3 linked regions of the Rhinolophus ferrumequinum genome follow. The protein of the gene in region 1 purifies or fractionates together with the protein of each later gene. This does not show direct contact. Links are inferred from orthologs where the notes say so. Each region holds a gene or a part of one and is shown on either strand. Other genes may lie near its edges.

Evidence for each region. The genes of interacting proteins can lie anywhere in the genome.
Region 2: the proteins of PLN (region 1) and ATP2A2 purify together in Homo sapiens (affinity purification with western blotting; 4 studies listed by BioGRID). This does not show direct contact. The link is inferred for Rhinolophus ferrumequinum from reciprocal best matches to the Homo sapiens genes PLN and ATP2A2.
Region 3: the proteins of PLN (region 1) and ATP2A1 purify together in Homo sapiens (affinity purification with western blotting, with the first as the bait; 3 studies listed by BioGRID). This does not show direct contact. The link is inferred for Rhinolophus ferrumequinum from reciprocal best matches to the Homo sapiens genes PLN and ATP2A1.

What each region holds. Positions count from the first base shown.
Region 1 is NC_046286.1:68,962,365-68,969,696, reverse strand, and holds the start of PLN (cardiac phospholamban), read right to left. Parts: upstream 3,320-7,332; 5' UTR 3,206-3,319; intron 1-3,205. UniProt on the Homo sapiens protein: Reversibly inhibits the activity of ATP2A2/SERCA2 in cardiac sarcoplasmic reticulum by decreasing the apparent affinity of the ATPase for Ca(2+).
Region 2 is NC_046308.1:6,031,715-6,040,175, forward strand, and holds the start of ATP2A2 (sarcoplasmic/endoplasmic reticulum calcium ATPase 2), read left to right. Parts: upstream 1-4,985; 5' UTR 4,986-5,523; coding exon 5,524-5,641; intron 5,642-6,353; coding exon 6,354-6,371; intron 6,372-6,470; coding exon 6,471-6,553; intron 6,554-8,461.
Region 3 is NW_022680357.1:1,255,822-1,263,386, forward strand, and holds the start of ATP2A1 (sarcoplasmic/endoplasmic reticulum calcium ATPase 1), read left to right. Parts: upstream 1-4,089; 5' UTR 4,090-4,296; coding exon 4,297-4,414; intron 4,415-4,744; coding exon 4,745-4,762; intron 4,763-5,153; coding exon 5,154-5,236; intron 5,237-6,628; coding exon 6,629-6,733; intron 6,734-7,402; coding exon 7,403-7,541; intron 7,542-7,565. UniProt on the Homo sapiens protein: Key regulator of striated muscle performance by acting as the major Ca(2+) ATPase responsible for the reuptake of cytosolic Ca(2+) into the sarcoplasmic reticulum.

The DNA.
Region 1 (7,332 bases):
CCTGAAGGTGGAGTACATTTTGAAAAGCACTAGAGGTCCTCAGTTACCTACAAGTATACTGGGGTGGAGATGGGTATACTTAGGCCTCATTTTCATGTGTTTATTTGGTACTAAATGCTTCAGAATTATGTAGAGTGAGAACATTGATGTACTATTTCTAGAAATGTTCAAAGAGAGTACATATTTTCTGATTTAGGTCACTGTAATTTAGAAGGATTATTTCCCAGATTTCTAACCTTTAGGTTTGCTCCTTGGCTGGTATGATCAGCACTGTTAATTCACAGTTGAGATGAAGGTTAGTGATTTCCACCGCATAAAAACAAGATTCCTCTGTTCAAGCATTTCAGAACATATGGGGTTGAATATTTTAAATGGTAGAATGTGAGGAGGTGAGAAAGGAAATTGAGGAAAGCCAAAAGATTTAATATAATACTGGAATGAAGTGTGAAAATGTGGCTTTGTGAAAAGTTTTGAGGAGAAATTAACCTGGATTTTAGGTAATCAAGGCTAAATAGATGAAAAGCATTGAGTAGTTTAACAGTGAAACACATTAAAAAGGAACTTTAATTTGATTGATTGATCATGTTATTTTTTTAAAGTCTTGGTAATTGTTTTCAGTTTTACCTTCCAGGGTGTATTACTTAATAACTAAGATCATCTATAACATGCTTACATCCCTGGCTTTGAAAATAAACAGGATAGTAGTATACTCATAGGCTATTAAGGACATAATGCCTTATACATAAATTAACTTGAAATGAAATGGAGAGGTTCTAAATAAAATAGAAGTTTGTGTCCTCTAACTTTGCCTTTTAGAGTACCATTAACAGTATTTGAGGACTTTCAATTTATTTTGCTTTGCCAATGTCATGTTTTATTTTTAAGCCATGTTGACCCGTGGGTGGGATGTACATGTGGTTTAGAGTCAGAAAATCTTGGCCCCTGCCAAGGTTCCACCATTTCCCATCTGTGACCTTGGGCAACTCACCGTTTTCACATCTGTTTTCTAAATTGTAAAACAGAGATGTGGTGTCAAACATATCGGGAGCTAAAAGGATCAAGTGAAGTTTTTATATACACTAGTGCATTTAGAAAATTGTTCAAGGAAAAAGAAAGCAGTTTCAATTGACTTTATATTTCTAGGATTGTTAATAAATAAACAGCCTTGCTTAGAGAGGTAATCTAATCTTTACATTTAAGTTTTACTTAAAATTTTAATATGTTACATAATTTATTACATAATTAATAATATTGCTTAATACATTTAGTAAATTAAAATTTTCATTCTTTCTTTGAACTGTTTTATCTATACCAGTATTCTTCTATCTCTAATTAGTGAAATTAAGAAACAGTATGGATAAGTATGTAACCAAATGCAATTTTTTTCTGGAATATTACTTTTCTTTATGTCTACTAAAATACTATTAAAATAATTTTTGATATTTGAGTCTTAGGAAATGCTAGTGATGTGACTTCTTTTAATAAAGCAAGGTACTCTAGCTCTTTCACGTGTCTTTAAAATTTAATCAGTTTTCATAATTTAAACATCTTGCACATTTCTTCCATTTTATTTCATCTGACACTCCTTTTTAGCACTTAATTTTAAACCACACGTCTTTATAAACAAAGACAATACTTAAATTTCACCCTGTGTTTGAGATGAACTTGTTGGTACAAAATATCTGACACTAACACAATGTTTGAAATTTGAACAACAGTCACCGTAACTAATTTTTGTTTTTCTGGACACATTATCTAAGGATATCTTTAATAGAATTTCTGCTCTTTCTAGATATTGTCAATTTTTTGGAGCAATAGGTGATGTGGTGATAGTCTGGTACTATAAAGACTCACAAACAGTTGAAATGTGAGAATGTAATTTGATAGGTATATGAGTAAAAATAAATAAATATGCATATAAGACACCTACCTACACTGAGTGACTTCCCTGTAATATCAAAGGAAAAACATTTTATGAATGTAAAGATATTGAGAGGCAGTGAGGGTGCCTCATTGGTAGGCAAAAACCAGGAATGTTTTTGCATGCCTTAAGGAAAGCTGCTTGTGGAATTACAGAGTTCTTTCTATAACTAGCAGTAGAGTTAACATTTGTCATAGGAATTCAGAATTTTAGAGATGAATTTTATTTTGACCTATATATATGAAAATGAAAAGAATGAAATAAAATCGATGTAATATTCTTTATACTATGAGATTTAAGAATGAAGACACATTTCATATAGTAAATTGAGATTTATAACATAAAAAGTAGAGTAGAATTCAACCAGAAGTTATTTTTCTTTTTTCCTCCCCCCCCCCTTCTAAATGTGAGAGAGGAAACTGAAGATTGTAACTTAGTATTTTCATTGCTAGGTAGAATATACACTCATTTTATCAAATTCATTCAAATGGGATATTTAGGAATGTTTGTGCTGCTAAAATAAGATCTATTTTTAAAGTGCCACATTGTATTCTGTGCATTTAGAAAGAATTTTGCATGTGTTCTTGACAAGTGTTTTGGAATTTTCAAACTTGTTATTTATGATATGGTATTGAAATTAATGTAAGTAACTCAATTTATTAAAAGCTTGGATTTCTTTTTAGCAGTGTTTGTTAAAGTTGACTGGACTTTATAGAAAGGAAAAAAGTCTTCAAAAGCATTTTAAATAGTTTTGATTATATATTCTTCAATTCTACTTTGTTAATATTCCCTGTAAGGAATCATAATAATAATATTGGAAAAGTTATGCCAATGATGTGCATGTTGTACAATCACAGGACTGTTCATAGTATTCCAGATGTAGACAGCCCACCCTGTTTCTCAGCAGAATAACAAATAACAAAATGAAGCCATTGTTTTTGCCTGAAGAAATCAAATCACCACTATCACCAACCAAATTTGAAAGGTATTTTAATTGGCAGAAATTCACTTTGAAAAGCAAAATGAACGTGAAAATTAAAATGAAAAAACCAATAACCAAGATCAAAGATGAATGCAACCCTTTTCATTTCAAAGCTAAGTCTTATTCTTAGTCACTGAATTATAAGCATTTATTTAGAAATTAAGCTTTTTGTCATATCAGACATTTTATTGTCTAACTTTGAGCTATAATTTACAATATATGATTAATTCTTTTTAAAGAGTTCAGTAAGTTTGAATTACAGAAACTAAGAATTTCCCAAATCAGTGAAATCTATTTCTTACCTTAGCTGTTGTGACGATCACAATGTATAGAGTGTTGTGAGTGGTATGAAGTCTTTATCGGCGTTTAGCTGGAAAGTTTTCTCTGTTACCAGATTTATGGGAACAATTGAAGTTGGGAGAGGAGAAAAAGTGTTCTAGGGAGGTCTCATGATGTCACAGAGGAATTCTGCAGATGTGATTGGTTAGCCATAGTCTTACCACACCCAAACTTTTTAGAATGTCATTTATCTCACTTTAGGTTTGGAAAGGTCATTAACACTTTGTGCCTCATTTTTAACTTTTAAAAGTATATGAGAGAGATGAAAAAACTGTTTGGGGTGGTAGAAAGCTCTTTTTAAATACTTGTGCATCTTTGGGCTTAGAAATGATTGTATTCTCATGGTGATAATGTTGAAGAACTAAAATAGTTACAGTAATAGGAACTTTCATAGAATGAGAATACTGGTTTAAGCCAAACAAGTTGTATTGAGTTGCTCTTGCTGCAGGTGCTTTGACATTGCAGCTTCATAATGTTAGCTTCTAGCAAGACAATAATTAGACATGAACTCAGCCTGCTTCACTTTCTTATGGGTAACTAAAATGTGTTGTGCAGCAGCTGCTGATGTGCCCTTAAATGGAGATGATTTTGGCTTCTTCCAAAGAAAGATAAAATCATTCTCTAGAGCAAATCTCTCATTATTTAAAGAATCAGCTACAACTAACAGAAAAAATATTTCAGTGATGACCCTCTGTGAACATTGCTAACGGAAAATTTACAACTTAAAAGTAAAACTCAAAATTAAAAATATTTCATGAATAATGTTTGACATTTGCTCAGTGCTCTACAAGCATTCTTTGTTTCATTCCTTACATAATAAGAATCTTTTATTATCATCAATTGCCAATGATGACTGAAATATAAAACCTAGGCTTGAAATGCAAGCATAAAATGGTTTACAGTAATTTGTCAAAGATGACACATCTGCTAAGAGAGAGACTGAGGATTCAAATCCGGATCTGTTTAGTTACAGTTCACTGATAGAATGGCATGTTGTGGGGGTGGAAATCATAATTTGGATATAGATTTCATAGAGTAGCATACATAAACTAAGAAATTTTGATGGAGATAAATGAATTATTGAAAACTTTTACTATTTTTAGAAAGTCTGCTTTAAGTGTCTGCCAGTTACACATTCATTTGAAAATAGATCATTGTATCAGCACCTCTAGTTCTAAGAAAATAGAATTAGTAATACTCAGTTGGATAAACTAAGAAACTGCCATAGACTCAATAAAATATGCTATGGATATCTCACATGTTGCTATATTTGCTTTAAAAACCTACATAGGTGTGCATGTGCGCGTGCGCGCATACACACACCTTAGAAGGATACTAATGAACTGGGTGTGTCAGAGTTGGTAAATGGAGACAAAAATATACTTTTTAGATTTGTACAAGGGTGGGGAGCTTCTGTGTTTACCTTTTTCCTTTTGGTTAGCTGCTGCTGTTTATTAGTACAAGTAGAGCTCTAGGAAGTGTTATACGTACTTCAGTTTCAGCCTGATTTAGCCTAAACAGAAAGTTGTTTAGTAGGAGCATTGGTGAACTACAGTATAATCAGTAGTGTTCCTCAAAATTCCACAACTAGGGGCTGGAAATTGTTTTTAGAGGTGCTTTGTCAGACTCCATTTTGCATCAAGCTATAGAATTTGAATTTTTGGTCACATGATCATGTACAACTTCCCTAAGCTGCCTTGTCTGTGGACTGGGTTTGTTGTGAGGGTTTAATGAGATGAATTATGTGTAGTGACTATCAGAGGTCCTGCAACACAGTGTCCATTTAGTGTTAGTATTTAGTTTTTATTTGCCTTTAGAAGATGATTCTTAACCTGCAGTCCATGGGTAGAGTTCAATGGTCTTTGAACTTGGATAGGAAAACAATTACATCTTTAGTAACCTTTAAATGAGATTTAGCATTTCTTCAGTTTTGACTATGCACCACAAACTGCAGAAGTGTTAGTAGCACATTTGACTGTCACTGTAGCAATTTCAGATAATTTAATATGTTACAGTTGTTGCAGATAGCTTGAAATACTGTTTACTTTAATCACTAGTTTGAAACTACCATAATTAAACCTGCCTGTAAATATTATTTATTGTGTTAAAGAAGCCCAAATATTACATCTCAAATTTGTTTTTTAAAATAAGTATTTCAGTGTAATTCATTTTCTTTCTAGTTCTGTGCATCTTAATTTTTTAAAAAAATTTATTTTGGAACAACCCTAAATTTACAGAATTATTACAAATACAGTGCAGAGGGTTCCTGTATACCCTGCACCTGGTTTCCCCTATTGTTAATATCCTGCATTAGTATGGTACATTTGTTACAACAGTTACACCTATGGTAATAGATTATTTTAACCAAAACCCATACTTTATTCAGATTTCCTCAGTTTTCCCCAGTGTTCCTTTTCTTTGCCAGGATCTTATCCAGGACACCAGATTGCCTTTAGTAGACATGCTTCCTTTGGTCCCCTTGATTGTGACATTCCTCAGAGTTTGCTTTTTTTTTGATAACCCCAACCATTTTGAAGAGTTCTAGTCAGATATTTTGTGGAATGACCTCCAGTTGGGATTTGTCTGATGTTTTTCTTATAGTTAGATGTGTTTTTGCAAGGAAGACGAGAGAGTTCAAGTGCCGTTTTCATCACCTGTCAAAGTGTAAACTATCACTGTGACATCAGTGTTGTTAACCTTGATCGCCTGGCTGAAGTGTAATGTTCGTCAGGTTTCTCCATGTAAAGTTACTCTTTTCTTACTCCTTCCTTACTGTGCTCTCCAGAAGAAAGGCACATGCGCAGCTACGCTTAGGCTTCACTACCGTAAGAGTTTCAGAATGTCTATAAAAATTATTTGGAATCCTGTGTATTTTATGTATATAAAAAAATTTGGAGAACAGATCAGTAAGCTTCAGCAGTCTGCCAGAAAAGTCCATGGCACACACAAAAAATGAAGAATTCCTTTGTTACAGGATGTTTTTTAGTTGTGTGTGGCGGCCTTTTTGAAAGAGGAGGACTGAGCTCCCAAAGAGGCTAAAATCCTGACTTCTGAGTTGGCTTTTTTAGGCCCTGTCTTTGCAGCTTCGTCTCTTATCACATTCCTTTGTAGTCTGTCTCTGGCCTTGTACAGTTAGCTGCCAGGGACTCTCTGAACAGGCTGCTGTTCTATTTTCAGCCTCCCTGCTTTTTGTAGGAGTGTCCTTCTTACCAACCTTTGTGCCCATCAAAGGGCTGTCAATTTATATGTGCTGTGCAGCCCTCCCTGCCTTATATCAAACAATTTGCATGTACCTTTGGTATCATCTCTCTTTTATTGTATTTATTAGTGTATGTGCCTAGACTAGATTGCAAGCTCCTTGAGAGCTGATCCAATAATTCGTATTTATATCACTGTTTGTTCTTTGTAGTATTGATTGAATGAATGATTAGATGAGTGAATAAAGTGGGGACCAGGAAAGATTGCAAGTGAATTGGTAGTGAATGAGTGATCCTGCAGAATTAAGTCTTAGGGACAATTATAAAATCCTTCTCAATTTTAAGATCATTGTGGGGGGAGTGAGGAAGGATAATTTCATATAGTCGTTGTTTTGATAGTTTGAAATACTGTTTACATTAATCACTACTTTGAAGTTGCCATAATTAGACCTGCCTGTAAATATTGTTATTTAATGTATTAAAGAAGCACAAATATTATATCACAAATTTGTTTTTTAAAATAAGTATTTCAGTGTAATTCATTCTCTTTTTAGTTCTGTGCATCTAATTTGGGAGGTTAGGGATAAAAGTGGAATGAGAATAAATTCTGTCAAAATATTTCTCGCCCTTTAAAAATATTTTAAATATCCTTGGGGGGTAAGAGTGGAGGAAGGCCAAACCAAAAGCTCATATTCCCTAAACCAAGCTTTTAAAAACTTAAAAATACATTTTTTCTTTCCTCATTGGATTCATAATAATTCATAGTACTTTATTTACTCTTATCTGCCTTCATTTATGTAGTTACTTAGTTTTTATTTTATTGCAATAGTAGTTTCCTTAAATTTTAGTAATAAGCATCTCTAAGATTATTACCTAAAATAAAAGCCAGGATG
Region 2 (8,461 bases), on another chromosome or scaffold:
AGATTTTAGCAACACAGTGGAGAGTCCTTGAAAGTTCTTATGGACAAGTAGAGAAATGTGGGCTGGTTAATAGTGCAGTGGACTAACATCCCATAATCACCTTAAGAGACTTTAATTTACATAACAAAGAATTTAAACAGTGCAGGCAACTCTGCCCACTCAACAAGCATGTGTTCCAGAGTAAGAGATGGCAGATGTGATTAAGTTGGATGGCCTTAGCTCCCACCTGCCTATCATTATAAACACCTTACTGTGCCAGTTCTGAATCTAGCACATAAATATGTATTTTTCTTGTAACATAATCCTTAAGCTGGCTGCATCAGGTGCTCAACCAAAGCAATGGTCGGTTCTAATGCTGTATAATAAAGTATTATGGGAGATAAGGAGGCGGCAGAGTGCCTTATAAGATTTTCACTTTCCTGACTTTGGAACCTATGGTGAAGTTGATTTATGAGATATGATCAAAAAATACGGTGAATATTTAAATGAAAAAAATTATTACAGTAAAAGACACATTGCCATTAATTCCCCTCAAAATGCTCCCCCTCGCTTCGAACACACTTAGCCCATCATTCTTGCCACTTTCTGAAGCGGTTCTAGAAGTCCTCTTTTGTGAGAGTCTTTTTAGTTGCTCTTTTATGGCTGCCTCGATGTCCTGAATCATTTTGACTTTGGGGAAGAGCCACAAGTCACATGGTGCCAGACCGGTGAATGAGGTGGATGAGGACACACCATAATGTTTTTATTTGACAGAAATTGCCGTACCAGAAGTGATGTGTGACGGAGAGTTGTCATGATGGAGGATGATTTACAGCACACTTTAAAACACACCTTCTGACAACCATAGCTCACATCTGACAGACTGAACAAGTTGAAACTCGTCACACACAGTTACCAAGGTTCAATGCACCGCTTCCTGTATTGAAGGTCCCTGCCTTTCCGTGGGATGGTATTTGGCAACAGCATTCACCATATTTTGTGATCACAAAGAAAAGTCTCCATGTCACACACCGCTTCTGGTACAGCAATTTCTATCAAATAAAAACATTGCAATGTGTCCTCATCTACCTTATTCACCAGATCTGGCACCATGCGACTCCTGGCTCTTCCCCGAAGTCAAAATGACCGTGAAAGGTAAACGTTTTGAATCAATTCAGGACATCGAGGCAACGATGGCAGCTCAACTCAAGGCACTCACAAAAGAGGACTTCCAGAACTGCTTCAGAAAGTGGCAAGAATGATGACTTATCCCATGTTCAAAGTGAGGGGGAGTATTTTGAGGAGGATTGATGGCAATGTGCCTTTTACTGTAATAATTTTTTTATTTAAACATTCACCGTATTATCTGATCACAACTCGTACAGCAGTTGAACAACTAAATCCAGGTGATTGGTTATTTTCTAATCTGGAATGAATGTCTAGAAGTTCTATTGGGTAAAGACATAGAAGTCATAAGTCATGCTTATCAAATTTGTGTGTCACCCAAACCAGAACATATAGCTAAAACATCACTTGAAGATGAAGACTCCAAAAGACCACGACAAACGGCAAAGATGGGCCAAAATGAACACAATAGTCAGAGTTCAGTGCCTGGGTTAAAAAAAATTCAACAGTTCAAGGACACAATGGGAAGATTTCACATGACTGCAGTTTATATATACAGAACTCAGTGTTGAGTTGATTGTTAACACAAATAAATGGTGTGAGGAGCAAGCATCCAGCACAAAGGTGGACAGTGATAACTCCACTGCGAGACTGCCTAGAGTTTTGTGTTCCATATTGGGTGTCTCCAGGACTGGACAAGGAGGATACTGAGGGGTTGCAGACTCCTGCTACAGGAGGAACAGCTCAGGGACCACTGTTCTTTTTAGCTGAGAGAGGAGACTTTTATAAAGCGCAATAGATATCTTGAAATACTTAAAAGGATCTCACACAGAGGAGGAATTAAACTTATTCAGAATTGTTCCAGAGGGCTGAACAAGAACCAATGTATAGGAGAAGCTAGTGGGAGGTGGATGCAGCCCAGAATGAGACTGCTTTCATGATCAGAGCTGTCCAAATATGGAACAGACTGCCTTTTGCAATCTCCATCGCTTTACAGGAGGGCTATAGAGGATTGGAAAGTTGGCTCTGGCCTTTTTCACAAAGTCACTCTTTCTACTGGGCCTTTTCTGTCTGCCAGGCTTTTTAAACTCGCCTGCTTATTACCAGCTAACGTCCTCCTTTATCAATTCCTTTCAGGTTCTTTGATCAAATCATCCATCTTTCTGAATCACAGTTTCTCTTCTCTTTCCTCTCCCTGTACTCAATTAATAGACTGTAACTGCAATCCTTGGTGAAAGTATTTCTAAAACCCATTCTTACTGTTTAACCTGCACGAGAAGCATAGGTAGTTCATAAAATAAACTGGGCATAGGTTTATTTCTACATAGGAATGACTAGATCTTTCTGCCTGTGGGAGTCTGAGTTTATGCTTAATTTTGGCAACCTAGAAACAACACGTGTCAGAGACTCCAACAGGTTGAGGAACCAAGTGCATAATTGGCACGTGATGTAGAAGGGGCCAAAGCCAAGCTAAAAATCACAGTTTCAGTTAAAGGGAGTATATCGACTTCCAATGTATAGAAAAGACTGGCAAAGAACAGTCTAGAAGAGTGATGACAATGTGGTTACAGGAGCAATGTGAACCTACATTACTTATCTCCGAGAAACCTATAATGCTGCCTAACTCTGTTTTTGTTTGAAATCCAACCTTTACAACCATTCCCATGAGGCAAGTAGTTCCTGTTGATTTCACAAATTGGAAACCAATGAACTTAAGTTCAGCAAAAATTTGCTGAGGCATTCCCAAGGCAAGGCCTTTTGCAAGTCACTGATAGGTCAGGGATGGTGGGACTGTTTCATTCACACAGGAGTTCAATAAATGATGAGTGTATAACGGGAACTGTACTGTGTCCTGAGGATGGACAAGCTAGACAAGCCCCTGTTCTCATGAAGCTTATATCCCAGTAGGGAGAGACAGGCAGTAAACAGCTAAACAAAAATACAATATCAGAGATAAGTGCTGTGAAGCAATGAAAACAAAAACATGACAGGGAGGGTGACTGGGGCGGGTAGCCACGTTGTCAGCCAAGACATCTCTGAGGTGACATGCAAGCTGAGATCTGAAAAAGATGAAACGAGGCACTCAAAGATCTGGGGAAGCACATTCAGTACAAAAGCCGAGGTAGGGAACCCCTCAGGAAGCTCATAATCACACCAGAGGTGCTTATAACACTAAGCAGAGACCCAGCCCTGGAACAGAGACCCAAACTCAAATACCCAAGGTAATTTCTGGGATGAGAAAGGTTAATGATCCCCTCTGCCTATAGTTCTTCCATTGTTGCTGAAAGAGATGAGATGAGGCAGAAGAACTGGTAAGAAATGGTGCAGACCTGGTCTCAGAGGGAAAGGAACCATCAGCCCTCCATTACCACACCCCCACCATACAGTCCCGGTCCCTCCTGGAGGAGGCTCCAATCCTGTGACCTAACCAGTTTCCACCGTGCTTCTCTTAATGCATTGCCATACACTAGACTTCTGTTTGTTTGTTTGTTTCGTGTAGGGTTTTGTTGGCCCTTTTCCAAGTATCAATCAAAACTGCATGCCAGCCTCCACTCCTTGGAAATAATGAAATGACGTGCCTGATTTTTTCATCTGGGTAATGCACTGTAATTTGCATCTCTTGAAGGAATTTATCTCAAGTCCTGAGGCTGAGCCATCTGGGACAACTGAGGTGATTTTTGTTCTGCTTTGGCTCATGTGGATGGTACAGTATTGCCAAACACAAAAGTGGACTAACTGCTTCATTCTGCGACACACTTCCTTAAGAAAGCTGTTCTTTGTGATGCGAATATGTTCACTTTTTGTTCATGAGTTCAAGCCCTGTTAAATAGTCTAACTTCTTTACATTGGGAAATTCCCTTTATCTTGCTGTTACCTAGGTTTTGTACAGATCTCAGGGGCAAATCATCTGTGGATTAAGAATAGGTCTTGGATTAAAGACCCTTTTTCGCCTATTGGGGAAAGGGGAGTCTAGAAAATAGCCTTGATCTTAATACCCAAGAGAAGCACCTTCTAGTACAAATCTCACTGCTACACAGCAGGTACAGTAGCATAACCTGTGTCTTCTACGCAGGCATGTATCGAAGGCCGTGTGGGCTATTAAAAAGAAAACCTCCAAAACAAAACAAAACAAAACCTTCCTTCTTTTCCCCAGAGTGGGATTAACTCAGTCAGGGCCCAGAACCCGCTGGGGAAAGGCTGATGTCTGCGTGCCGTGGAGCCCTCAGCTGTGGGTGTGGGATGTGGTGTTCCTGAGGCTACAGATGAGGGATTTTGGCCTTGTGGGAAGTGAACTGCGGAATTCCTCCCCTTGGTTACTGAGGCGGGGCTCCGAAGCAGACAGATTAGGATGCAGAGTGCGGCCCTGGAGATTGAGAGCGAGGGGGCGAGCCAAGGACACCAACCAGAGCGCGCTTCGGGAGCCCTGTGCGGACCAAATTCCCAGGTTCCTTGGCCTCGCCTTCCCAGCCATGCACCCCGGCCTGAGGCCGACCCTGAAGGGCAGGCAGTTCCCTCCGGGCAGCGAGTGCAGGGAGCCCACCTTGAGGCTCCCACCCTTCTGGATTCTAGTTCTTTGGGCGGCTGGGGATCTAAGGCCGCACCAGCGGAGGAGCGGGCCGGAGCTCGCGCCCCGTCAGCCCGCGGACCACAGGGCACACTGTGCAGGCACCGCTCACAGCAGCCTCGATCCGGGTTCCGGGGGGCGGTGCGCGGGAGGGGCGGGGCCTGCGTGGCAGCGTGGGCGCGAGCCGCGCGGGAGGGAGGGAGCCGGGGAGGGGGCGGGGCCGCGCCGCCCGCGCCGCGCTGGGCCCTCTCGGCCAATGAGCGGCGTCCACATGCCGCGGCGGCGGCGAGAGGGGAGGCAGCGACGGATAAATGCTATTAGAGCAGTCGCCGCGGAGCCGTCCCCGACGCCACCTCCTTCTCTTTCGCCGCAGTTTCCTCCGCCGCTGTCGGGGGAGTAGAGCTGAGGGAACTGGGCGAGCGCGCTGTGCACCACCCCACCGGCTTGCAGCCCTTCGTTCCGCCCTCAGGGGTCGGCCGGGCGCCCCCTCCTCTGGTCCGGGCGGGGCCGCGAATCACCTCAGGAGAGCGGGGAGGGGGCTAAGGGGCCGCGGCCTGCACTCTGGGCGGGCGGTTGAGGGCGAAGGAGACCCTCCCTTCTGACGAGGAGAGTCGCGAGCTCCCACCGCCCAGCTGAGCCCGGGGTGGGCGCCGGCGAGGGCTAGGCAGCGAGAGGAGCGGTTGTCTGCGGGAGGGGGCGCGGGGTGATTCAGCGCCCCGCGAGGCGGAAGCAGCCGGAGGAGGAGGGGGAGAAGCCAGTCCGCGCCTGGGCGCCGGAGGTGGCACGAGCCCGCTGTCCGAGTGCGAGGCGGAGGCTTGGAGGCCGCGGGGACGGGAGGCGAGGCCCCCGCAGCCATGGAGAACGCGCACACAAAGACCGTAGAGGAGGTGCTGGGCCACTTCGGTGTCAACGAGAGCACGGGGCTGAGCCTGGATCAGGTCAAGAAGCTCAAGGAGAGATGGGGCTCCAACGGTAGGTGCCCGGCGCCGGGGCTGCAGGGGCCCCGCGCGGCCCGGCGCGGGGCCGAGAGCCAGGGAAGATGGCTGACCGGGCCCCACCTCGTGGGTCTCGGCTCCGAGCCCGCCGAGGGCTGCAGGCGGCGGGTCGAGCCCGCGCGTCGGCCAGGCGGGAAAGGGGCAGCATGCGGGGGGCTCCGGATCGGGTCTGCGCCTGCTCTCGATGTCCTCGCGGCTCGAGACCTTGACCTTCCCCGCACGCGGCCAGCTCCGTGACTGTCACCAGCAGCAGCCGGCCCTGGTGGAGGGAGGAACTAGTCTCCTGAAGCTGGGTTGAGTCCTGCGAGACATTTTCTCGTCCCAGCCTGTTTATGAGGCGTCGTTGTAGTTGAGAATGCCTCTGACCGTTCTTGCACTACCCAAAGTTACACATCTGGCAGAAGTGATGACATAGCTGAAATGACTCCTTGTTTCGGGATCCCTGTTTAGATGGCAATGAGATTTTACGCTTTGGGGTAGACCTAAGGCCATTGGTTACAAGTATTGCATATTTTTGGGGGGTACCATTTTAGTATGGTTTCCATTAAAAATGATAGAATGTATATATATCTAGGTACGTCTTTCAAAGATTGATAAGTTTTAGCAATTCTTTTTTAGAAATACAGAATGCTAAAATGTTTTTTCCCCCCTCTTGACACGGTTGCTTGGCGAATTTCTACATTCTACAGAGTTACCGGCTGAAGAAGGTAAGTAATCTTAAAATGTCCCATTCTCCACCTCCACCCCCTCCCTTTGTGTGCTGAAGTTAATATGACATTTACAACAAATATGTTTGTTTCTAATAGGAAAAACCTTGCTGGAACTTGTGATTGAGCAGTTTGAAGACTTACTAGTTAGAATTTTATTGCTGGCAGCATGTATATCTTTTGTAAGTATGAAGCAATTCATTTTCTCTCCAAATAAATAATGTCTATCGGGTGAGAACATTATATTTGGAGGTTTAAGCTGTGTCTCCATTTTTTTTTTCCAAACCTAGATATTTTAAAATTACAAACAAAACACTTGAAGCCATTCGTGAACAGAAAATAAATGGCTGCCTGATATTTACAGTGCAGTTAGAAATTATTCCTGAATGTGGCAGGGTCTTACAAATTCTTGTGGTTTATCAGTTTTTAATAACAAAAAGTTCTTTATTGGAAGGCCTTTTCTGTTTCGGGTTCTTCAATTGTGTAAGATCATACTAAGATGATGTTGGGCTCTTTGTAGTCTGTAAATAGAACTTACAAAAGGAATATTCCAGTTGCTCTCCTGTCCTAGTAATGGCAAGGTGACAGTTTCTGACAGTGACAAGAATGATGACGGCAGTGATGGCACCACTGTTGACCAAATTTGGTCACTGACCTTTAGGGTGGTATATTTATCTAAATTGGACCCCTGTCTTGAGTGACTCCTAGGTTAAGAGAACAAGGTTCAGTACAGTTGGTTCTAGATCTTAAAAGAGGAAGAAAAAAAATTGTGTTTTTTCTTCTTCTGTATATACTTGCCCGCTTGAGTCCTGTATGGTTGCTAAGAAACTGGTGAAATGCAAAGAACTACTGGAGAAGAAAGGTGATGGGGGTTGGTGAGGATATTTCTAGGTTATTAACATTTTTTTTCTGTTCAATATTTTTTATTGCCTTTTTTTCTTGGGCAATGGACTTCTTGGTAGTTTTCCTAAAAATGGTCATGAATAGGACACAGATGTTCCTAATCCTAACAGCATGAGATGCCTTTTGTTCTTAAATTACAATATTTTATTCTTATAAAAACATGATTGGAAGCGAAATTCACCCAGTGCAATACGTTTTTCAGGCTTCACAAAACCTACACAGCTTCAAGGTCTCGTTTTTATGTTTGTATGTATGCAACCAGGGATCTACCTCAGTCTTTGACAACCATACCATAGAGGGCTATTTTGAGAACTGAATAAAGGAAGCAGTGGACATTTTTTTAGGTGAGAAAAAAATTGGGAAGAGGTGAACTTTTTCTGGAGTAATTATATACACAGATACTGCCATGAGAATCTGCCATTTTAGCCAAGGGATGTGTAACTATTAATCAATCCTTATGAATCTTTTCAGTGATATTCATTGAATAAAATATAGAGTGATGTATCAAACATTCAACATCCTGAATTAATCACTCGATACCTCTTACATGTCTGTTCTGAATTAATTTAACCCCACAACCTCCTCGCCAGTAAATGACTGCTGCTTTAACCAATTAAGAGAAAGGAGTAGATCTGTTTGATTAATAAGTTTCAACATATTGTCGTGGGGCAAAACAAATTACATATTTGGGCTAGTATAATATTTATATTTAAGCTGGCTACGTAATTCTGAAACTGTCAGCTCTGGTAGTTGAAATACTGGGGTTCAATACGGTCATCAGGGACCTCTTAGAAGTTAATCAGCTGATGTATATACAAGCCAAAGAGGTATTCTGGCTTGTATGTATTCCGTGTATGTAACTTAAGGCAGTGTTGCAATATCAGTGGCATTATTTCCAGTAAACCGGCTATTGACTATTTGGGTTGTATAGGAACTCTTGAGTGGCCAGGTTGAGTGACTGTATTAACATTTTGCATCAATGATGTGTGTGATTTTTACTTTGAAGTAAGTTTATAGTTTCTAGGCATTTTCAGATGGGCTTTAAATTTGTTGTAAGGTTGGGTTTTTGTAGTTTTATAGGGCTGTGTTTTGGAATTGAAATTTGAGTTACCTTTTGATAACTACTTGGAGTTATTGTTCAGGAAATGAACTATGTTACATTTTTTTAATGGGTTGCTATTACAGAA
Region 3 (7,565 bases), on another chromosome or scaffold:
CAGAGTCTGGCGGCAGAGGGGCCCAAGGGCAGGCTGGCCACCCTCCTCAGAGCCACTCTGGGGAGCCGGAGGCAAGGTGTAACCACTGCAGCCTCAGTATCTTCATCTGGAGAGTGGGAAGTTTCATCTGGGATGGAGCTCGTGACTCACAAGGTCTGAAGGTTAAGTTCCTGAACTTGGGGCAACGACGTTGCTGACCTTGTTTTGATATCAGAGGGATTGTTCATTATGAATTTGTACCAGCTGGACAAACAGTGAACCACGTTTACTATTTGGAAGTGCTGAAAAGGCTGTGTGACAAAGTTAGAGGACCTGAGTTTTTCGCCAACAATTCATGGCTCTTGCATCACGACAATGCACCAGCTCACACGGTACTGTCTGTGAGGGAGTTTTTAGCCAGGAAACAAATAACTGTATTGGAACACCCTCCCTACTCACCTGATCTGGCCCCCAATGACTTCTGTCTTTACCCGGAGATAAAGGAAACATTGAAACGACATTTTGATGACATTCAGGACATCAAGGGTAATACGACGACAGCTCTGATGGCCATTCCAGAAAAAGAGTTCAAAAACGGCTTTGAAGGGTGGACTAGGCGCTGGCGTCGGTGCACAGCTTCCCAAGGGGAGTCCTTCGAAGGTGACCATAGTGATATTCAGCAATGAGGTACGTAGCACTTTTTCTAGGATGAGTTTGCGATCTGAATTGTCCGCCCTCCTAGATGGCCTGGCTAATGGAATTTCACATAAAAGTTCAGATGATTGGCTTCTCTTGAAAATCAGAAGGCAGCCTCGTGCTGCATCTGCCTCATCCCTGCCCGACCTTGTCACTCATGACGTGCCTGGCCTGTGGGTATTTGCGGTTGCAACGTCTGCTGCTCCTCCGTTTCCCCCCAGCCCCTCCGTTTAACCCAGGCCCTGCTCTCTGAATTGCGGCTCTGCCCTCCTCCAGTGGAGGGCGCCCCTGGGCTTCTCGGCTCTGCGGGTAATGGGCGCCCACAAGGAGGGGCCAGGTTCCCCAGACTCCCACCTGCTTTACGTGGCCCCCTCCCCTCCCCACCTCTGTCCACCTACCTCTGCCTCTTACCATTCTGCCTCCATTTCCCTCCCAGTCAGCGTGGAGCCTCCACTTCCACGCCCCCCCCCCAGCCTCTGCCCCCACCTCTGGGCCCTACCCATGCCTGTGACCTTGCTATTCTGGGCCTCGTGTCCTGTGGGGAGATGGACAGGAGACAGCTGGGCTCACAGGCCACTCAGGCTGTGGGCTCGCCTGGGGAAGCCTGCTGGCTCTCCCCGTTTTATCTAATCCCTGGGACTCCCCCAAACCTTGGCCTCAGGAGACGGGGGGGGGGGGGGGGGGGGGGATAGAATTGGCTTTGCAAAGGTGGAGATGCTTTGGGGCGCTGGGTGCGATAGTCTCAAAACGAGATGGCCCCTGAAGGCTGCGTGCCCGAGCGTAAGCAGGGCCTGATTCTCCTAATCTAGCGGCAACTTGTGTGTGGGCTCCCTCTTCCCCTAAACCCCGCCGGCCCTCTGGGACTCGCCTTCTGAAGATGGGTGGGGGAGGGGTTCAAGGGCCCCCCACACCCCAAGATTTGCATGTCTTGGCCGGAGGAGCCTAAGAGACTGCTTCTCTCCCAGCCTGTGGTGGTTCAGCTGAAGTTCAGCACTGGTCAGGGATTGGCTGGGCTCAGTCCGTGGCTCTCACAGACCTACTCGCAGCTTCAGCCTTCAGATAGGAGGGGAAAAACACCTTCCAACTCTGGGCCTGGAGACCCCCGTGGCGTGGCGTGGCGCGGCGCGGCGTGGCGGGGATCCACGAGCAAGGGCCTCCCTGCTCGGCCCCCTCCGGGGCAGTTCACACCCCCAGCCTCCCTGAGGGTGATCCTTCCGCGGCTCTTGGCTTTCCCCCTTTGGCGTCAGGTCCCCGCTCTGGGAAGTTGATGGAGGTAGAAAGGACTAACCTTAAGGTCCCTGTTGCCAGCAGCGTCCTGCAACGCCGGCCTCCTTTCCGCAGCTCCATGCGCTCCGCTCCCTTGAACCTGTGACCGGTCCAGCCTTCTCCCCCTTCTCCATGTTTGGGCATTCCTGCTCCCGTCACTCCTCCAGGTGCTGTCAGGGAGAAGCCAGCCGGCCAAAAGGCTTGGCAGATGCGGAGCCCGACTGGGGCCTAAGAGCTGGGGGGTGCTGGCCAGGTGGAGGTGCCTGGCCAGGTGGATGGAGACTCACGCCGTTGTCTGAGCCCCCACGGCAGGTCACAGCAGGACTCTGCTTCAGCGCAGGTTTTGTTGGAACCCTGAGGAGGAGGGAGGGAGTACCCTGTCTGTGTCCTCAGCTCACCCCGAAATCCAGGAGGAGAGAGGGATGAGTGGGGGGGCCAAATCCTTAAATGCCCTCCCCCCATGCTAGCCTCAGAAGTCGGGTTTCCCTTGCCTTTGCCCGCTGCCCCCTGTGCCACTGTCTGCGTAGCAGCTGGGCGGCCGAGGGAAGCAGCCTTGAGACCCAGTCAGTCAGTGGCCTGTAATCCTCACCATTTCAGGAAACTGAGGAAGGACTTGAGGTCAGGGTGGCGAGGCTGCTTTTCCCCTCACTGACCTTTCACCACTGCTCCACTGAACGTCTCTCCTCTCTCTGCCATCCTTCCCTCCCCCACCCACACCCCAGGCTACCCTCTGCTCCTGCTCCTCCAGCAGCTGCCCTGGTAATAACCAAAAGATGCCCCCATCCCAGAGCAGGGGTGGGGGTGGGGGGCTCGGAGCAGCTGCTTCTCCGAGGAAGCTGACACCAAGGCCAGCCGCTCAGTGACAACTTGTGGCTTTGCACCCAGCCCTGGGCCCCCACCCACCTGGCTGCCACATGCCAGCTCCCTGCTGTCCCTTTTCCCCACTGCTCCTCAGACTTCCTTCTGACCCTGGCAGCTCTCTCTCTGCTCCCCCAGCTCTGGTCTGTCCTTATTTCCCCCAGACATGTCCCCATCAGTCTGCCCTCTCCCCACGCCTTTGGCCTGGAGCCTCTGCTTTATCCAGCTTCCCCAGCACCCTTTCCTGGATGCCCCTTCCCTCCTGCTGCTTCCCACGGGGTGTGCCCAGGGCCTGGACATACAGCTCTGGTCCTCACTCCCCTTGAGCACAGATACTTCAGGGCCAGGTGGAGTGCAGAGCGTCATCCATGTGGGGTCTGCCAGGGAAACCCCTTAGGTTACAGAGAGCACAGTATGGGACGGAGGCGACCCTTCTTCCATGACTTGGGGTGACCCCCACCCCCATCCTGAAATGTTTATCCCTCCCCCTCTGCCATCAGCACATTCTGTAGCCTCTTGGGTTACCTTGCTGCCTGGGTATCCCATTTTCTTGCGGGGGGTGGGATTCACTGTTCGAGATAGGGGGGGCTGGAGGTTATGTTCCCAGAGGCTGAGTTAGAGCGATGTGGGGGGGGGAATTTAGGGGAGAGACAGGCAGTCCTGGCTTTGCTCGTCGGGCCTGGACACTAAATCCCCTGTTGATGGCTGCCGCAACCCCTCCCTAGGGTAGGGTTACCATCTTTACCCTGTCCCCTTGACCCCCTCCCTTCCCTCTTCCCCTCATCCCTCCAGAGCCACTTCCTTTGGCCCCCAAAGGATGTTCTCCCCCTCTTCCATCCCCCGAAGGTTGGAATAGCTCTGCTGCCCTTTCAACAAACTAGGTGAAGAAGGAGGCTGGCAGGTTCAGAGTGGACGAGATGGGACGCAGGGGTGGGGGGTGGGGTGCGAGGGACGTGCCCGGGGAAGGCCTGAGAGGAGAAGTGGGCTTATGGGGAGAACTGGGGGGATGAGTTTGGAACCGGAAATTCAGTGCAACTGAGGAAGCTGAGGCAATTGGGGGAGGGGTCCGTAGCAGAAGACAGAAAGTGAAGTCTCTCTGCCCCCCTTCCCTGGGGCTGGGGCCATCTTAGCTTCCCTCATGAGTGACATCTCAGGCTGCAGCCCCACTGTTCCCCCTCTGTCAGCAGAAATATCTCTCTCTTCTGACCCCTCCTGCTGGCGTCTCAGCCAGCCAATCCCTGATCTGGGGGAGGGGGGAGCCTGGCCCCCCCTACTCCCTCATAAGGGACCAGCTGGGGGCTGGGGGGTGGCCGGCTGCTACAAGTGGGACGGGGGTCAGAGCTTCGTGAAAGGAAGAAAAACCTGGGGGGGGGCAGGAGAGAAAAAAAGAAGAAGCCCCGACAGACAGGCAGGTGGACACACTGAGGAAGGCCCCCCACACGTGAGAACCCCCCTAGAAGAAACACACGGCCCCCTGGCCCCCAGGAAGGGAGCACAATGGAGGGTGCACACTCCAAGAGCACAGAAGAATGTTTGGCCTATTTTGGGGTGAGCGAGACTACAGGCCTTACCCCGGACCAAGTTAAGCGGCATCTGGAGAAATATGGCCCCAATGGTAAGTGTGGCTCGGAGGCTGGTAATGCCCTCCCGCACACGCGCAGCGCACACGCATACTCACACGCAGTCTCCCCCTCTGGGGTATCGTAGGGAAGAGCTGGGTCCAACGACTGCAGCCGTAAGAGGATAGGGAAGAGAATACGGAGAAAACGGGGTCCCTGAGACCCAGAGTTTTGGGAGGTTTTATAGGATGACCTTGGAGAACCTCAGATGCCCTTTCGATGGCCTGATTCTCTTACCTTAGCCACAAAATCCTGGGTGTGTGTGTGGGGGGGCATCAGACAGAACCCCAAATGAACATGTCCTTTTCTTCTTTTTCCCTGGGTAGAGCTCCCTGCTGAGGAAGGTAAGTTACCGAAATCCCTGAGCTGTCATAAATGACCCCCCTCCCCTCTGGGCTCCACTCCCTTTTCCCTGCCTCTCCCTATTCACTCCTGGGGCAAATATCCCTCCCCAAGGGTTTGAGCCGGGCTGGGGGCAGAAGTTTCCAGGCACTTTCTCCTTGGGCATCCAGCCCTTGAACAACTGCCCGCCACTTGGAGGAGCCCGTTGGTGGCGTCCTGGCAAGCTCCCTCTCTCACTACCAAGTGGTCTGCCCATCGCCCCACAACCATCCTGCTCGGGGCTGGAAATCAGGGCGCCCTCAGTCCCTGGCCCCCAGCTTGCACCTGGAGTCCCTGCTGTCCATCCGCTAGACCTTAACCCCGGGGACGCCCTCCCCTTGCCTCTCCCCCCAGGGAAATCCCTGTGGGAGTTGGTGGTAGAACAGTTTGAAGACCTCCTGGTGCGAATCCTTCTCCTGGCCGCCTGCATTTCCTTTGTGAGTGTAGTGGAACATCTGGGGGCTGGCTGCGGGTGCGGGGATCTGGAGAGGGTGCCGAGGGTGGGGAGGGCTCCAAATCCGAGGCCCCCCTCGTCCAAGCCCTCGGCATCCTATCCTGCAGACCAGAACTGACCGGGGTGGGGGGTGGGTTGCTGATGTGCGCCCTCTGTCCTCCCCACACCCCGCAGGCAGGTTTTATTTTAAGCTTTAACGGTGTTCTCAGCCAAAACACTGAAGCTAAGCCACCCCCCGAAGCTTCCAGGGCTCCGAAGGCTCGGGTTACCCCCTTGAGCGAAGGGCTCCCCAGCTCCGTCGCTGCGGCCACTCGGGGGCGCCACTACTCCCTGGGTGCCCGAGGTGCAGGCTGCGCCTCTCCACCAATCCCCGAGCCTCCTGGCGCCGCTGCCCCGCCCTCCTGGCGCTGATTGGTCGAGGCAAAGACCCTCCTAGAGGCGGGAAAGCTGCTGGTGCGAGGGTGACTCCAAAGGCTCCTGGAGGCGCAGACCCCTCACTTGTCGCTGGCCTTGCTTCTCTGCCCCCCAACAGGGCTGAAAATCCTGGGATCCCTTTCCTCCCCAGACTGGCCTGACTCTCCCCTTCCCCGCCCTCCCTGGGCCCCTCCAGCCTCAGCGCTGCCCCCGCCCGCTCCTCAGGGTCCTGCCACGTGTCCTTGCCTGGGGCTCCCTTGGGCGCCCACCGTGCCAGCAATCAGTCGATCCTGCCATGTGGAGTTTCTTCCTTAACATCTTACTCCTGCTGGAAAACAAGCCTCCGGAGGCAAAACAGTGTCCCTGTCCCCTGGTCTCCTTCATGTAGGCCTGTGGGCCCCTGAGCACCAGCTGGCAGGGCCTCACTTCTCCCTTCTCAGATTTGCTCCTTGACATTTGCCTGTGGCTGTTGCCTTTGCAACAGCTGGGGTGGGGTGGGGTGTGTACAGGAGGCCCCGTAACACTATCCCGCCCCCCTCCTGCTCCCTCCTGAAATCGGAGCTTCCCTGCCTCGGGCTGTGGGGGGAGGGCTGTGGGTGGGCCAGCCGCCCGCCTGCCTGCGCGGACCACAGGTTTTTTCCTATGGAGTTGTGGCTCCCCTGGGATGGATGTGGCTGTGTGGGTAGTTGGCCCGGGTGCCCCCTGAGCTTTGTTTACAAGCGTGCAGCTCTGTCAGGGAAACCTGAAAGCATTCCTCGGTAATCCCTGAGGGGTGCAGGTCTGTGCCCGCCTGGCGGTGCTGCCCATCCTGGAGTGTTAGACCGGCAGACCGACGCGCGGCTGCGCGCCCGGTGAGGCCTGGCCCTTTCTTTGCTCCTGCACGAGTTCTCACCTCCATTGGCCTTCTTTACCTGTTTAAGGGCCGCTCTCACCTGTGATTCTCCCTTCTCCTGCTTCCCAGGTGCTGGCCTGGTTTGAGGAAGGTGAGGAGACCGTCACTGCGTTTGTTGAACCCTTTGTCATCCTCTTGATTCTCATTGCCAATGCCATCGTGGGGGTTTGGCAGGTTAGCTTCCACCCCTCTTGGTTCCTTCATGTCCGGACACTGAACATGAGGCCCCCTCCCCCCACCCCCCATCACTTCCCTTGGGCTTGCCTTGTTCTCTGGTCCTATTGCTCAGTTTGTAAATGGGACGGAGTGTGGGCAACAGGTGGGAGCTGGTGTTCCCACTGTCACTTGCTGGCTGTAGAACTCTGGGCAAGTTCCTTCATCTGTCTGAGGCTCGGTTTCCTCATCCATAAAATGGGGCTAATAATCCTGTCCCTCAGAGTTGTGGTGAAATATAAAAAGATGATGAGTGTGAAGGTGCCTGGTGTATAGTAGGTGCTCAATAAATGCTAGTTTGAGTTTCTTCTTTCCATTACCTCACCACCCTCTACTTTTCCTGTCCCCTGCTTTCTGATTTTCTTTCTCTTTTCTTCTCTCCCAACCCCCCTAAACCGTTTTTGGCCGTAAGCAACAGGTTCTTGAACACATACACACCCCGACTCTCCTGGGTGGGGGGGTTGTCTACTCCCCTGCGTAACCTCCCTCTTCCTTGCTGGTGTCCCTGTTGGCCCCAGGACTCTGGCCCCTGCTCTGCCATCCCTACACCGCCTGCCCCACCCTCCCCTGCCTATCTCCTGCCCTTCCTCAACCTCCCTCCCTCTGATGACCTCCACCCTGTCCCGCCAGGAGCGTAATGCAGAGAACGCCATCGAGGCCCTGAAGGAATATGAACCCGAGATGGGGAAAGTCTACCGGGCGGACCGAAAGTCAGTGCAAAGGATCAAGGCCCGGGACATCGTTCCTGGGGACATAGTGGAGGTGGCTGGTGAGTGGTGGGCATGAGCGGTCC